3 linked regions of the Macaca mulatta genome follow. The protein of the gene in region 1 purifies or fractionates together with the protein of each later gene. This does not show direct contact. Links are inferred from orthologs where the notes say so. Each region holds a gene or a part of one and is shown on either strand. Other genes may lie near its edges. The genes, in order: DMWD, USP46 and USP12.

Evidence for each region.
Region 2: the proteins of DMWD (region 1) and USP46 purify together in Homo sapiens (affinity purification with mass spectrometry; 5 studies listed by BioGRID and IntAct, counting the BioPlex papers as one, with this or other methods). This does not show direct contact. The link is inferred for Macaca mulatta from reciprocal best matches to the Homo sapiens genes DMWD and USP46.
Region 3: the proteins of DMWD (region 1) and USP12 purify together in Homo sapiens (affinity purification with mass spectrometry; 3 studies listed by BioGRID and IntAct, with this or other methods). This does not show direct contact. The link is inferred for Macaca mulatta from reciprocal best matches to the Homo sapiens genes DMWD and USP12.

Annotation. Positions count from the first base shown.
Region 1 is NC_133424.1:58,340,883-58,345,100, reverse strand, and holds the start of DMWD (dystrophia myotonica WD repeat-containing protein), read left to right. Parts: upstream 1-1,283; 5' UTR 1,284-1,372; coding exon 1,373-1,813; intron 1,814-3,039; coding exon 3,040-3,222; intron 3,223-4,218. UniProt on the Homo sapiens protein: Regulator of the deubiquitinating USP12/DMWD/WDR48 complex. Functions as a cofactor that promotes USP12 enzymatic activity.
Region 2 is NC_133410.1:80,841,694-80,845,889, forward strand, and holds the start of USP46 (ubiquitin carboxyl-terminal hydrolase 46), read left to right. Parts: upstream 1-1,389; 5' UTR 1,390-1,483; coding exon 1,484-1,519; exon of another isoform or gene 1,520-2,134; intron 2,135-2,341; exon of another isoform or gene 2,342-2,457; intron 2,458-4,051; exon of another isoform or gene 4,052-4,196. UniProt on the Homo sapiens protein: Deubiquitinating enzyme that plays a role in behavior, possibly by regulating GABA action. May act by mediating the deubiquitination of GAD1/GAD67.
Region 3 is NC_133422.1:7,181,855-7,185,489, reverse strand, and holds part of USP12 (ubiquitin carboxyl-terminal hydrolase 12), read left to right. Parts: intron 1-2,742; coding exon 2,743-2,972; intron 2,973-3,635. UniProt on the Homo sapiens protein: Deubiquitinating enzyme that plays various roles in the regulation of the immune response and inflammation.

The sequences.
Region 1 (4,218 bases):
GTGTGGTGATGTGATCATAGCTCACTGCAGTCTTGATCTCCTGGGCTCAAGTGATCCTCCCACCTCAGCCACCTAAAGTGCTGGGATTCTGGGATTCCAGACGTGAGCCATTGTAGGATTTTTTTTTTTTTTTTTTTTTTTTTTAAGTGTGAGATGCCCTTGGGACACTCTAAGGAGAAATCGTAGAGGCCATTGACTACGTGAGACTAGGAAGATCTATGATGGGGCTGGGTGACTTCAGCAGACATGGGGAGCACTGGCTATGAGTAGGAGCTGTTGGGATCAGTGGGAGACTTTGGGTTACGAGTGGATCACTGGGACACTGGGGCACCGTGGGGATCAATAGAATTTGAGAATCAGAGGTGGGTTTTGGAGGACAAGTGAGGTTGTTGAAAATAAGAAAGTCGGGCCGGGCGCGGTGGCTCAAGCCTGTAATCCCAGCACTTTGGGAGGCCGAGACGGGCGGATCACGAGGTCAGGAGATCGAGACCATCCTGGCTAACACAGTGAAACCCCGTCTCTACTAAAAAATACAAAAAAAAAACTAGCCGGGCGAGGTGGCGGGCGCCTGTAGTCCCAGCTACTCGGGAAGCTGAGGCAGGAGAATGGCGTAGACCGGGGAGGCAGAGCTTGCAGTGAGCTGAGATCCGGCCACTGCACTCCAGCCTGGGCGACAGAGCGAGACTCCGTCTCCAAAAAAAAAAAAAAAGAAAGAAAATAAGAAAGTCATGGAAATATACATTGGAGGTTGGTGGAAAATATGAAGGATGTTTGGGGTTAGCATTAATCAATAGTGGGTCAGAGGAAGTCCTTTGAGTTGTGTGGGGACACAGGGATTTGGCGGGTCACCAAGGGTGGGGAAGAATGGTAGCAGATGCTGTGGTCATTCAGGGATTTGAATATGTCAGTGGGAAACATTGGCGGTCAGGGGAGTGTATGTTGGGCGTCTAAGGAGAGACCAGGGTCACTTGGGGTCGGCTGTGACTTCATGGGAAGGCTGGACTATGGATGAGGGCTTCTTTGGTGGGGGGGTCCCTCCGTTGCTAGGCAAACGGTTCCCAGGGCGCGGTTGCTAAGGACTTGAGCTTTCTAACTGGCCACGCCTCTTTCCATTGCGGGCTCCGCCCCCGCAGTCAACCACAAGTCGGTCACAGGCACAAAGACCGCGCCCACCTTCTCGCCCCGCCCACAGTCCCAGCACCGTTACCCGAGCGACCGTGGGGGTTCGTCCCGCCTCCGGACCTGGGTGCCAATCGAAGAGGCGTTGCCGGGGCGACGACTCCACCTTTTCCGGTGCGGGCCCGCGGCTTCCGGCAGGGGGCCCGGCTGCGGGCGGCAGTCCGGCAGCGGCGGGGCCCGGGGGGCGCCCAAGATGGCGGCGGGCGGCGCGGAGGGCGGCTCGGGCCCCGGCGCCGCCATGGGGGACTGCGCGGAGATTAAGTCCCAGTTCCGCACGCGCGAGGGTTTCTACAAGCTGCTCCCGGGCGACGGCGCCGCTCGCAGGTCGGGTCCGGCTTCCGCCCAGACCCCGGTGCCGCCCCAGCCGCCGCAGCCCCCGCCCGGCCCTGCCTCTGCCTCCGGTCCTGGCGCTGCAGGCCCTGCGTCGTCCCCGCCGCCCGCAGGCCCCGGGCCTGGGCCCGCGCTGCCCGCCGTGCGCCTCAGCCTCGTGCGCCTCGGGGAGCCCGACAGCGCCGGGGCCGGGGAGCCGCCCGCCACGCCCGCGGGGCTGGGCTCGGGGGGAGACCGCGTCTGTTTCAACTTGGGCCGTGAGCTCTATTTCTACCCAGGCTGCTGCCGCCGTGGGAGCCAACGGGTGAGCGGCCTGCATCGTGGGGCCCTGGGTGCTGAAAGGATGGACGTTCCAGAGAACTGATAGGAGGGTGCCTGAATTGATATAGGGCCCTGAGATAGGCATCCTAAATGTGATGGACGTCCTGGGGCAACAGCATTGGAGGGAGTACAAGATTCTGAAATGCGATGGGAGGCCCGCGGGGTGCTGGGCAGGCATCTTTGAGGTGATGGGGGAAATCCCCTTTACCCCCGTTATGCGTAGGGGTTCTGGGATGGCGAGTATTGGACATGATGGGGTATCTGAGATGAGGTGGGATCCCCCGGGTTCTGGGGTGGCAGGTATTCTGCAGGTAATGGGGAATCATGAGGTGATGCAAGCTCAGAGGTGATGGAGAACCCAGTATTGCATCCTGGAGGTGTTGGAGAGGGGCTTGAGATTGAGCCCAGGAATGTGGAGAAGTCTAGAAGTGATGGAGGCCTTGAAGGTAATAGGGGATCCAGAAGCTGAATGGGATCCTAGAGAAAATTGGGGTCTGGAGGTCATGAGGGTCCTGGAGGAGATAAGCGTCTGGAATCTGATGGGAGCTCTCAAGGGGATGAGAGGCTCTGGCAGGCGAATCTGCAAGTGTGATTCAGGGCATCTCTAAAGCGGTGTGGTGAGAACCTTGGGAAACTTATGGTGGCCCCAGAAATGATGAGGATCCTCAGAGCCCTGAGGTAGTAAATGGGCCTAAAATGTGGGAGACTATGAGTTTTGATGGGTCCCTGAACTGTGGCGGTTTAGGGATTCCAAAGTGAAGCGAATACTAGGATGTTAGGCTTTAGAGTCCTGGGAATTTGGGTGACCTTGAGGTTTGGGGGTCTTGGAATAGTGTGGTACTAGGTCCTAAGGGAGTTGCTGAGGTTATAGGGTGGAGTGGTGGGGCTAAAAGGAATCGGAGCTCAGGAACTGTGTGGCCCCAGAACCCTGAAGTTGTGGACAAGGGTGTTTCTGAATTAGGGGTGACCCAACTTGGGGGAGGCACTGTGGTCAAGGGGGATCCTTACTATCTTTTTTGCTACTCCATCTGTGATTTAGGTCCCCTTCCCGTCTGTGGTTGCCCCCTCTTTCCCAATCCACCTACTCACCTCCCCACTTCCCTCTGGGTTCTAACCCTGCTTCCTCTTAGTGGTTTCCCCCAACCTCAACATCCTTTTCCTTCCCCTCAGTGGCATACACCATTAACTCCTTTTCTCCCACCCCTCAAGTCCATTGACCTCAACAAGCCAATTGACAAGCGGATCTACAAGGGCACCCAGCCCACCTGCCACGATTTCAACCAGTTCACTGCTGCCACCGAGACCATCTCCCTGCTGGTGGGCTTCTCAGCGGGTCAGGTGCAGTACCTCGATCTCATCAAAAAGGACACCAGCAAGCTGTTCAATGAGGAGGTGATTGCAGCCCCCAGAACCCCCAACTGCTCTGCCTTCTCACCTACCCACTATATGCCATTAGGTTTCAGCTGCCTGGGGACCAGTGTAGGCCTGAGAGGGGCAGGACCAGGGAGAGATGAGAATGGGGTGACAGCAGCTAATGACAGCTGCACTGTACCCAGGCCCTATGCTGTGTTACCCCTGTGCTGAATACTTTACTCCTTGAGTTTTTTTTATTTATTTATTTATTTTATTTATTTTTTTGAGACGGAGTCTCACTCTGTCGCCCAGGCTGGAGTGCAGTGGCGTGATCTCCGCTCACTGCAAGCTCCGCCTCCTGGGTTCATGCCATTCTCCTGCCTCAGCCTCCCAAGTAGCTGGGACTACAGGCGCCCACCACCACGGCCAGCTAATTTTTTGTATTTTTAATAGAGACGGGGTTTCACCGTGTTAGCCAGGATGGTCTCAGTCTCCTGACCTCGTGATCCGCCTGCCTCGGCCTCCCAAAGTGCTGTTGTTACAGGCGTGAGCCACCATACCCGGTTTTTTTTTTTTTAATTGTAATTGTAATTTTTATTGTTTTTAATTTTTTTTCCTTTTTGAGGCAGAATCTTGCTCTGTCACCCAGGCTGGAGCACATTGGTACAATCTCTGCTCACTGCAACCTCTGCCTCCCCAGTTCAAGCAATTCCCCTGCCTCAGCCTCCTGAGTAGCTGGAATTATAGGTGCCCACCATCATACCTCGCTAATTTTTGTATTTTTGGTAGAGACTGGGTTTCATCATGTTAGCCAGACTGGTCTCAAACACCTGACCTCGTGATCCACCTGCCTCGCCCTCCGAAAGTGCTGGAATTACAGGCGTGAGCCACCGCGCCTGGCCACTCCTTGAGTTTTCATCAACCAGTGGATGCAGAAGTGTGCTGCCCATTTTGCAGATTAGAGAATTGAGGCTAGTAAATAAGTTGGGACTTAGTTGATACCCTTGCTCTTTGAGTTCTGGGCTTTGGAGGCTT
Region 2 (4,196 bases), on another chromosome or scaffold:
GTCATGACTTACAATGGAAGAAATTATCATCAGGATGTATTTGGAAATAATATTTAGGTTGAAAGACTTAAGCAGGAATATTACTTCTTATGTGCACTGGAAAACACAGTGACATGACTCCCAAAACCTTCAGTCAACGAGTCTGTCTTACTGTTTCCTCCCCAGATCCTAGGGGGTATTAGCAATCAAGGGCTCTCAAATGTTTACTCTTGGTTAGATAAAATTTATCTTCAACTAATTTTTCTTCTGATTCAATTTGTCATTAAATATATTGATTTAAGAATTTATCACGCATCTCACTTGTACAACTTCTCCCATGAAAGCATCGAATTGCAACTTTGTATGTGTAACTGTTTCACACATTCAGAAACCGGCCCCTTCAATTCGCGTGGACCTATCTGCTAAGTGGTGCACAGACTCACCCTCTGAACCCACAGACACGACCTTTAATGCGGGAAATGTGCATGATCCCATACAGCGTCCATCTCAACAATTGGAGGCTGGGCATCCCTGAGAGGGGTATGCCTGCCTTGAAGATATGGAAAAGTTTTGTTTTCGTTCCTTCCGCTCCTTAGTGCTTGCGCGGAACCGGGACGTCTCCTTTGGACCCGCTAATGTTACAAGCCGCCCAAGCGCGCCGCTGCTGGCCTCCGCCCAGACCCGGATTCCTCTCGCCTCCTGGCGCCCTTTCTCGGGCGCCCGGCCCGCGGCTGGCGAGGGCTCTCTGACCGCTCCGGTGTCCTCGCCCCATTTTACTTCTTGGGTCCCCGCCGGTGCCATCTGGTTGGAACCCTCGGGAAGAACTAAAAGTTGGACGTTGCCACCCCTACCCCTCGCCAAAAACTAAACACCGGAGGCTGCCGAGGCGCTGCGGGAGGAAGGCGACAAGGAAAAAGCGAGGACGGAAGGCGGCCCCGGGTTCGCCCCGGCCCGGGCCTCCCGCCTCCCCACCCCGCACCCCGTGCCGTCCCCGGCTCCCTGGCTTCCCGACGGCGAGGAGGGCCGCTGCTTCCGCGTCGGAGTCGGCCAGGGGGACCTGCGGGGTGCGGCTGCCGCAGCGGCGCGCCCCGGAGCCTGGCCCGGCATTCCAGTCCGAATAGAGAGAGGCAGGGAATCAAATGGAAAAGCAGGAGGCCAGGCCGGGCGGGGAGGGAGGCGGCGCGGCGGGGCCCGGGAACCCAGCCCGGAGCGCTCGGAGCGGCCGGCTCGGACTCACGCGGCGCGCCCGGGCCGCCCCTCCTCCCCGCGCCGCCGGCCGCGGCCCAGGCTCCCTCGCTCCGCCACTCCCCGCCCCTCCGCGCTCCCTCCCCGCCCTCCCCGCGCCGCCGCCTCCTCCTCCCGGCCTCCCTCTCCCAGCCAAACTGAAAGCTGGACCCCAGGCCGCCGCGCCGCCGCCCGGCCTCCCCGCCAGCGCGCCACCATGGGCAGTCCCGGTTTCCCCTTGTAAAGATGGCGGTGAGGGATCGCTGCAACCTTTAGACTAATGACTGTCCGAAACATCGCCTCCATCTGTAATATGGTGAGTGGCCGAGCCGCCTCGGGGTCGCGCCCGACTCGCGGCGAGGCAAAGAAAGGGAAGCCCGAACTGCACCATTCGCCCGGCGGCTGGGGCGGCGGGGTCCGCGCCGCCAGAAGTTCCCGGCCGCCGAGCTGGGCGCGCGGTCGCAGCCCCCTCAGCGGCCGGGGAGGGTCCCCGAGCCCCCCGCGCCCGCCTCAGCCCCGGTACATCAGAGCCCGCCCGGCGATCCCGGGGCCCCGCTGCTGCGCCCCCGCCCTTGGGTTGCGGTGGAAGCGGCTTGAGGGAAGGGAAGCGACCGAACCTGAACGTCCCCAGGGAGGGGGTGGGGGATAAGGTGGAGGTGGGGGCACCCATCCTCTTCTTGCGGTCAAGTCGGCCTTGTTGGACGCCCAGACTGCCCTCATCTCATTTTGAGTTCAGTCCTTCAGCGGTGTTTAGAATTCACTTTGCAACACCAATTGTGTATATGGAGAAATTGGAAATGTAATAAAGCTGTAAAAAAGTGCAAAATTGTGGCTAGAGAAGTGAACTTCAGCCTGGTTTGAAAAAGCACCGTAATTTGCTCCGCATGCCTCAGTTTCCCCATCTGTGAAAAAGGGACAAGGCTCTGTAGAGGTAATATTTGCATGCCCTAAGGGTGGGGCCGGCTGTGGGCTTGGAGGAGGTCTCCAGGGTTATCCTACCTTATCCGCTGTAGACCTAGGGGAGGCTGGCGGGCATGGATACAGCCAGGGACATCACTGGGTTCTGATGCAGTCCGAGCCCATGACGCGGTGGTCACTTTAATTTGGGCTTCTCCCATTGCTTTCCCTTTTTCTGTAGGAAGAACCTCCAGCCCTTGGGTCCCCAGGGTCCCCAGGGTGGACCCTGCTGGCACCTCCACACGTCAGAGCCTTTGGGAGCTCAGACTGGAGTAAGGCATTGCTGTCCCTTGCAGGGTGAGATGATGTGTGCTTTGCTCCATTCTTTAGACTGCACCCCGCCCCCCTCCAGCCCCCTCCCAAACTGGTCCCCAGAGGCAACACGTGCTCTTACAGTGCCAGTTTGAGGAAAACCTCCCTAGAAGCTAGTAATACTGGCCCCTAAAGGGAATCCAAGGAAGCTTGATGGAGAAGCCCTGGTGTAAGGTGATCTGGCTGTCCTTCCCTCATCACATAGCTTTTTAAATCTTCTGTCCCACATTCTGTTGCAAGATCAACACATGGCAAAGGAGCATTAAGAAACCTTGTGTTAGCTCAGGGGTGGAATTGAGACCTGCTGGCTTCAGCTTTCAGCACAGTGGGACGTGCCACTGTCACGGCCAGCAGAGCAAATGCTGGGGCCTCCCAGAGTGATAGCTGCACAGGTATTGGTTGGTGCCGGGCGAATTCATACAGGGAGTGGATCCTGGAGCCTTTCTGTTTTCTCTTTTTTCATTTCTCTGCGAGGAGACAGGTTTACTCTTATTCCTGTGGAGGGGCTGCTTGTTATAGAGGTGATGCCTTCTCAGTTTCTCTCTCCTACGACCAGCTTCTGAGGGAACTGTGAATCAGGAGCAGCTTGAATACTCTTTCATGTCTGTTGGTGTGGCCGCAGGCCTAAGGATACTACAGGGTAGTTAGGCTCCGTCCCAGCCCTTGGTGGTGTTCTTGTCCAGCTTGTGTGTGGTTACACCTCTCTGTGTAGAAGCAGGCTGGAAACTTGAGAGCTAGCATGTCCCTAGAGGAAGCCAGCCCCCAACCTCCCCCCACCCGCCTCCCTCCCGCCCTCAGTGCTGTTGGGGCTTTCTGGCACACCTGGGCTGAATGTCACAATGTGTTTCAGTGAAACTCAGCTAGGGAGACAGGGTGTGGGGAGGACCTGAGAGGAGCAGGCCAATACTGCCCTGAGAGTTGACATCTCGGGTGGAGACCTAAAAAGGTACCAAATTTAGGACCATCACCCAGATGAAGTGAGGAACGAGTAATTTCATTAATTAAAGAGTCCGATGTGCCTATTTAGACGCTGTGTCTAGAGAGAGTGACAGAGTTTGGGTTCTAATGTCAGACTTTCTGGGTTCAGGTCCTGGTTCCTTTTTTTTTTTTTTTTTTTTGACAGGGTCTCACACTGTCACTCAGGCTGGAGTGCAGTGGCATGAACATGGTGGCTCACTACAGCCTCCACCTCCCAGGCTCAAGCGATTCTCCCACCTCTGCCTTCTGAGTAGCTGGGACTACAGGCACGTGCCACCATGCCTGGCTAATTTTTAAATTTTCCATAGAGACTGGGTCTCCCTTTGTTCCCCAAGGTGGTCCCTAATTCTTGGGCTCAAGAGGTCCTCCCACCTCAGCCTTCCGAAGCGCCAAATTACTGCTGTGAGCCACCATGCTCGGCAGGTCCTGGTTCTAACACATGTTGGCTTTGTGTCCTTGAACAAGTTGCCCAGTCTTAGACTTTCCTTATCTACCAAAAGGAGATGTTAATATTGTATTACTCGGGCATAGGGCCTGGTACATGGCTAGAACTCAGTGTCATTGTCAACATCATCTTTCTCATTGTTATGTCATCTACCAGGTGTTTAAAGGACAGTGGAGATCATGCCATTTCAGACCTGGTGGAAACAACCACTAATATAAACACCGCCCACGTTTAGGAAGGCTGGAGTGGGAATCCTTAACCCCGCCCCCTGCTCAGGTCACCCCCCCCCCCCGCCCCCACC
Region 3 (3,635 bases), on another chromosome or scaffold:
GCATTTATATTTCTACTCTGAATTGGCTATTATTTTCCTTTGCCTATTTTTTAAATTGGTTTTTTCTTTTCTTGTTTTGTAAAGGGTTTTTTTTTTTTTAATATTCTGTATATTAAGCCTTTACATAGTCTGGATATTAATATGCAAATAATTCTCCTTGTTTGTCACTTGTCTTTATTTATGTTGACTTTGCCATACAGAAGTTCATAATTTTTACGTAGTCAGTCTTTGATGTGTTTTGTATTTTATTCAGTAGCAACAACAATGTAGGTTGAGCATCCGTAATCCAGAAATCTGAAACTTTTTGAGCTGCAGGATGCCACATGGGTGGCTGAGGTAGTAACAACTTTACTTTCTCATAGTTCAGTGTACACAAATTTAGTTCCCTGCACAAAGTTTTTAAAAATACTATATAAAGTTGCACTCCATCGGGGGCAACAAGAGTGAAACTCCGTTTCAAAAAAAAAAAAAAAAGTACTATATAAAGTTACCTCCAGACTATAAGGTGTATATGAAACAAATGAATTTCATGTTTAGACTTGAATCCCATCCCCAAAATATATCATTATGTGTATGCAAATGTTTTCAAATTTGAAGCAGTCTAAAGTCCCAACCACTGCTGCTCCCAAGCATTTTGGATAAAGGATACTCAACCTGTAGTGATACTGCCAATATTGTTACTGTGGTGGTTGTTGAACAGAATACAAAACCTATTGTTGTATTCTAAGCCCTTCTAATCTTTCTACCAGCCTTGTGAGGTGTAGGTACTGCTGTGAGCCCCATTTTTCAGATGAGGAATTATGGCACAGGGAGGTTGAATAAGTTGCCTATGCCACACGTGCAGTTAGAGGTAGAACCATAGCACCAACCCAGACAGCCTTGCTCTAGCAGCTGTGTCCCCCACCCCCATAAATAGCTTCACTCGTTCCCTTTCTGTTTTTACAATAACTTTGCAAAGAATGGTATTCTGGATTTTTTGTTGTTGTTGTGTTGTTTTGTTTTGTTTTGAGACGGAGTTTTGCTCTTGTTGCCCAGGCTGGAGTGCAGTGGCGCAGTCTCGGCTCACTGCAACCTCCACCTCCCAGGTTCAAGAGATTCTTCTGCCTCAGCCTTCCAAGTAGATGGGATTACAGGCATGCGCCACCACGCCCAGTGAATTTTTTGTGTTTAGTAGAGACCATGTTGCTCAGGCTGGTCTCAAACTCTTTACCTCAGGTGATCACCTGCCTTGGCCTCCCAAAGTGCTGGGATTACAGGCATGAGCCAGTGAGCTCAGCCTGCTTTTTTTTTTTTTTTTTTTTTAATTTACCATGGGATTGAACATTTTCTCATGTTTCTTAGTCTTTTGATTGTTTTTTTCTTATCAATCAATTGCAAGTCTGTTGCCCACTTTGGTTTTCTTTTATATGAGATTTGCTTTTATATGTTGAAAATGTTAATAATTTCCAGATTTCACTTTTTTTTAACTTTTTAAAAGATTTCTAATACATAGAACTTAATTTTATATAGTCATATCTGTATCTCTTCTAAAATGTAGTTGTTAATTCCTTTTATCTTAGACTTTCCCTAAATTTTTTTCTAAATTTGTATGCATTCATTTTTAAAATGTAAAATTACCTATTTTAAAATGTAAAATTACTCTTCTGGAATTTATTAAATGTACATTGAGAATCTAAAAATAAAATGTCCTAAATAGATAGGTTTTCTCAATGCATTTTGTTGACCAATTCATGTATGTGGGCTCACACTGGGCATTACTTTGTGTGTGGCATGGTGGAGTCAGGCTGCCCAGTTTGAATCCTGGCTCTGCCATTTCTTGGCAGTGTGACTGTACCCTCTCTGGTCCCATTTTCATGTTTAAAAATAAAGTTAGTAACAGTATTACATGGTTGTTGGGGATCCAATGAGATACTGCCTCTGAAGTCCTTACTTCTGGGCCACTGCGCTCCAGCCTGGGTGTAGCCATTTTCAGGCTTTATCTTTACAAAGTGCCCAGCAAGTGGGTGTTGGACTTACTGTTCTTGGTAGAGTGGTGTATTGCCAAGCACAGGGTAAAGTGCACTTGATGTTAGCACCACCAGTATTTCAATTATATTTACTCACTTGTGTAACTGCAGGAAATGTTTCTTGGAATTACAAAATCTCACATTTGGAAGGGACTTGAGATTACCTAGATTACATAGATAATTCTTGATAACATGATTCTTAAACCTGACTCTGCATTAGAGTTAGTTGGAGGAGCTTTGAAAAGCCCCACGTTCTGGCCTCACCCCTTACCAACTGAATCAGAATCCCTGGGATGTACGGTTCAGTAATTTATTTTTAATAAACTTTGTGGTGGGTCTTAAGCAGTTGGCTTGGCATTGGCAAATGGTTGTCCAATTTCTGCATTAAAGCTTGCCACGTTGAAATATTTGTGGAATAATAGGTTAGGTAAGCTAATAAGCAATTTCTTCTTAAATTCTCAGTATCTGTTTTGCTAATTATGAGGATAGGTTTTGCCCTTTTCTCATGGGTCAATTAGTAGTATGTTTAAACAAGATTTTCATTAATTTTACATTTATTTTCCCCAAATACAGATAAAAGTTTTAGATGTGAAAGTTATTTATTTGTTATACATTACAAAAACCTTGTGCATTTATATTTTAGTTTTGACCCAATACTAGATATTCTTTTATAAATGGTTTTTTTATGAAGTTTTAATTCTGAAATAATTATCTAATGTTATGTTTTTATTTTCAGAGCTTTTTGACAACTACATGCAACAAGATGCCCATGAATTCTTAAATTACCTGCTAAATACAATTGCTGATATTTTACAAGAAGAGAGAAAGCAGGAAAAACAAAATGGTCGCTTACCTAATGGTAATATTGACAATGAAAATAATAACAGCACACCAGACCCAACGTGGGTTCATGAGATTTTTCAGGGAACATTAACTAATGAAACCAGATGTCTTACTTGTGAAACTGTAAGTATATCATACAATTTTGTATAGAGAAAAATTGAATCATTACGTTAAAGGTTGTTCTTTGAGAAAGAGAAGAATGGAAGATGAACTTGAAAGTTGTAATTCTTAAATATTGGAGTTAAAGATGGGTTTTTCAGTTAAAAGGACTCCATCTGTATTCTTAATGTAATGTTGCTTATTGACAATGAATACCTGAGGTGATAGAAAGATGTCGTAGCTTGAACTGTTTGATTTTCTTTCAGTTTAGGAGGCCACAGACCATGTTGTGAAAATTATGTCTTAGGACAAAATCTCATAGGATCATACCGATCAGGGAGGCATACTAATTTGTTTTTCCTTTTTCTACAATTACCTTTAGTATCCATTGTTGGAATTAAAAACTAAAGCATACAGTGTCCCTCAAGGAGGGGAAGATACCCCACTTGCTGTACACTTTGTAAAGATGAAGCTTGAAAATCGTTACACCCAGGCTGGAGTGCAGTAGCCTTGACTTCCTGGGCTCAAGCAATCCTTCCATCTAAGCCTCATAAGTAGCAAGGGCCACCAGCACGTGCCACCATGCCCAGCTAATTTTTGAATTTTTATTTTTTGTAGAGACGGGTCTTACTGTGTTGCTCAGGCTGGTCTTGAACTCCTGGGTTCAAGCAGTCTTTCTGCTTTGGC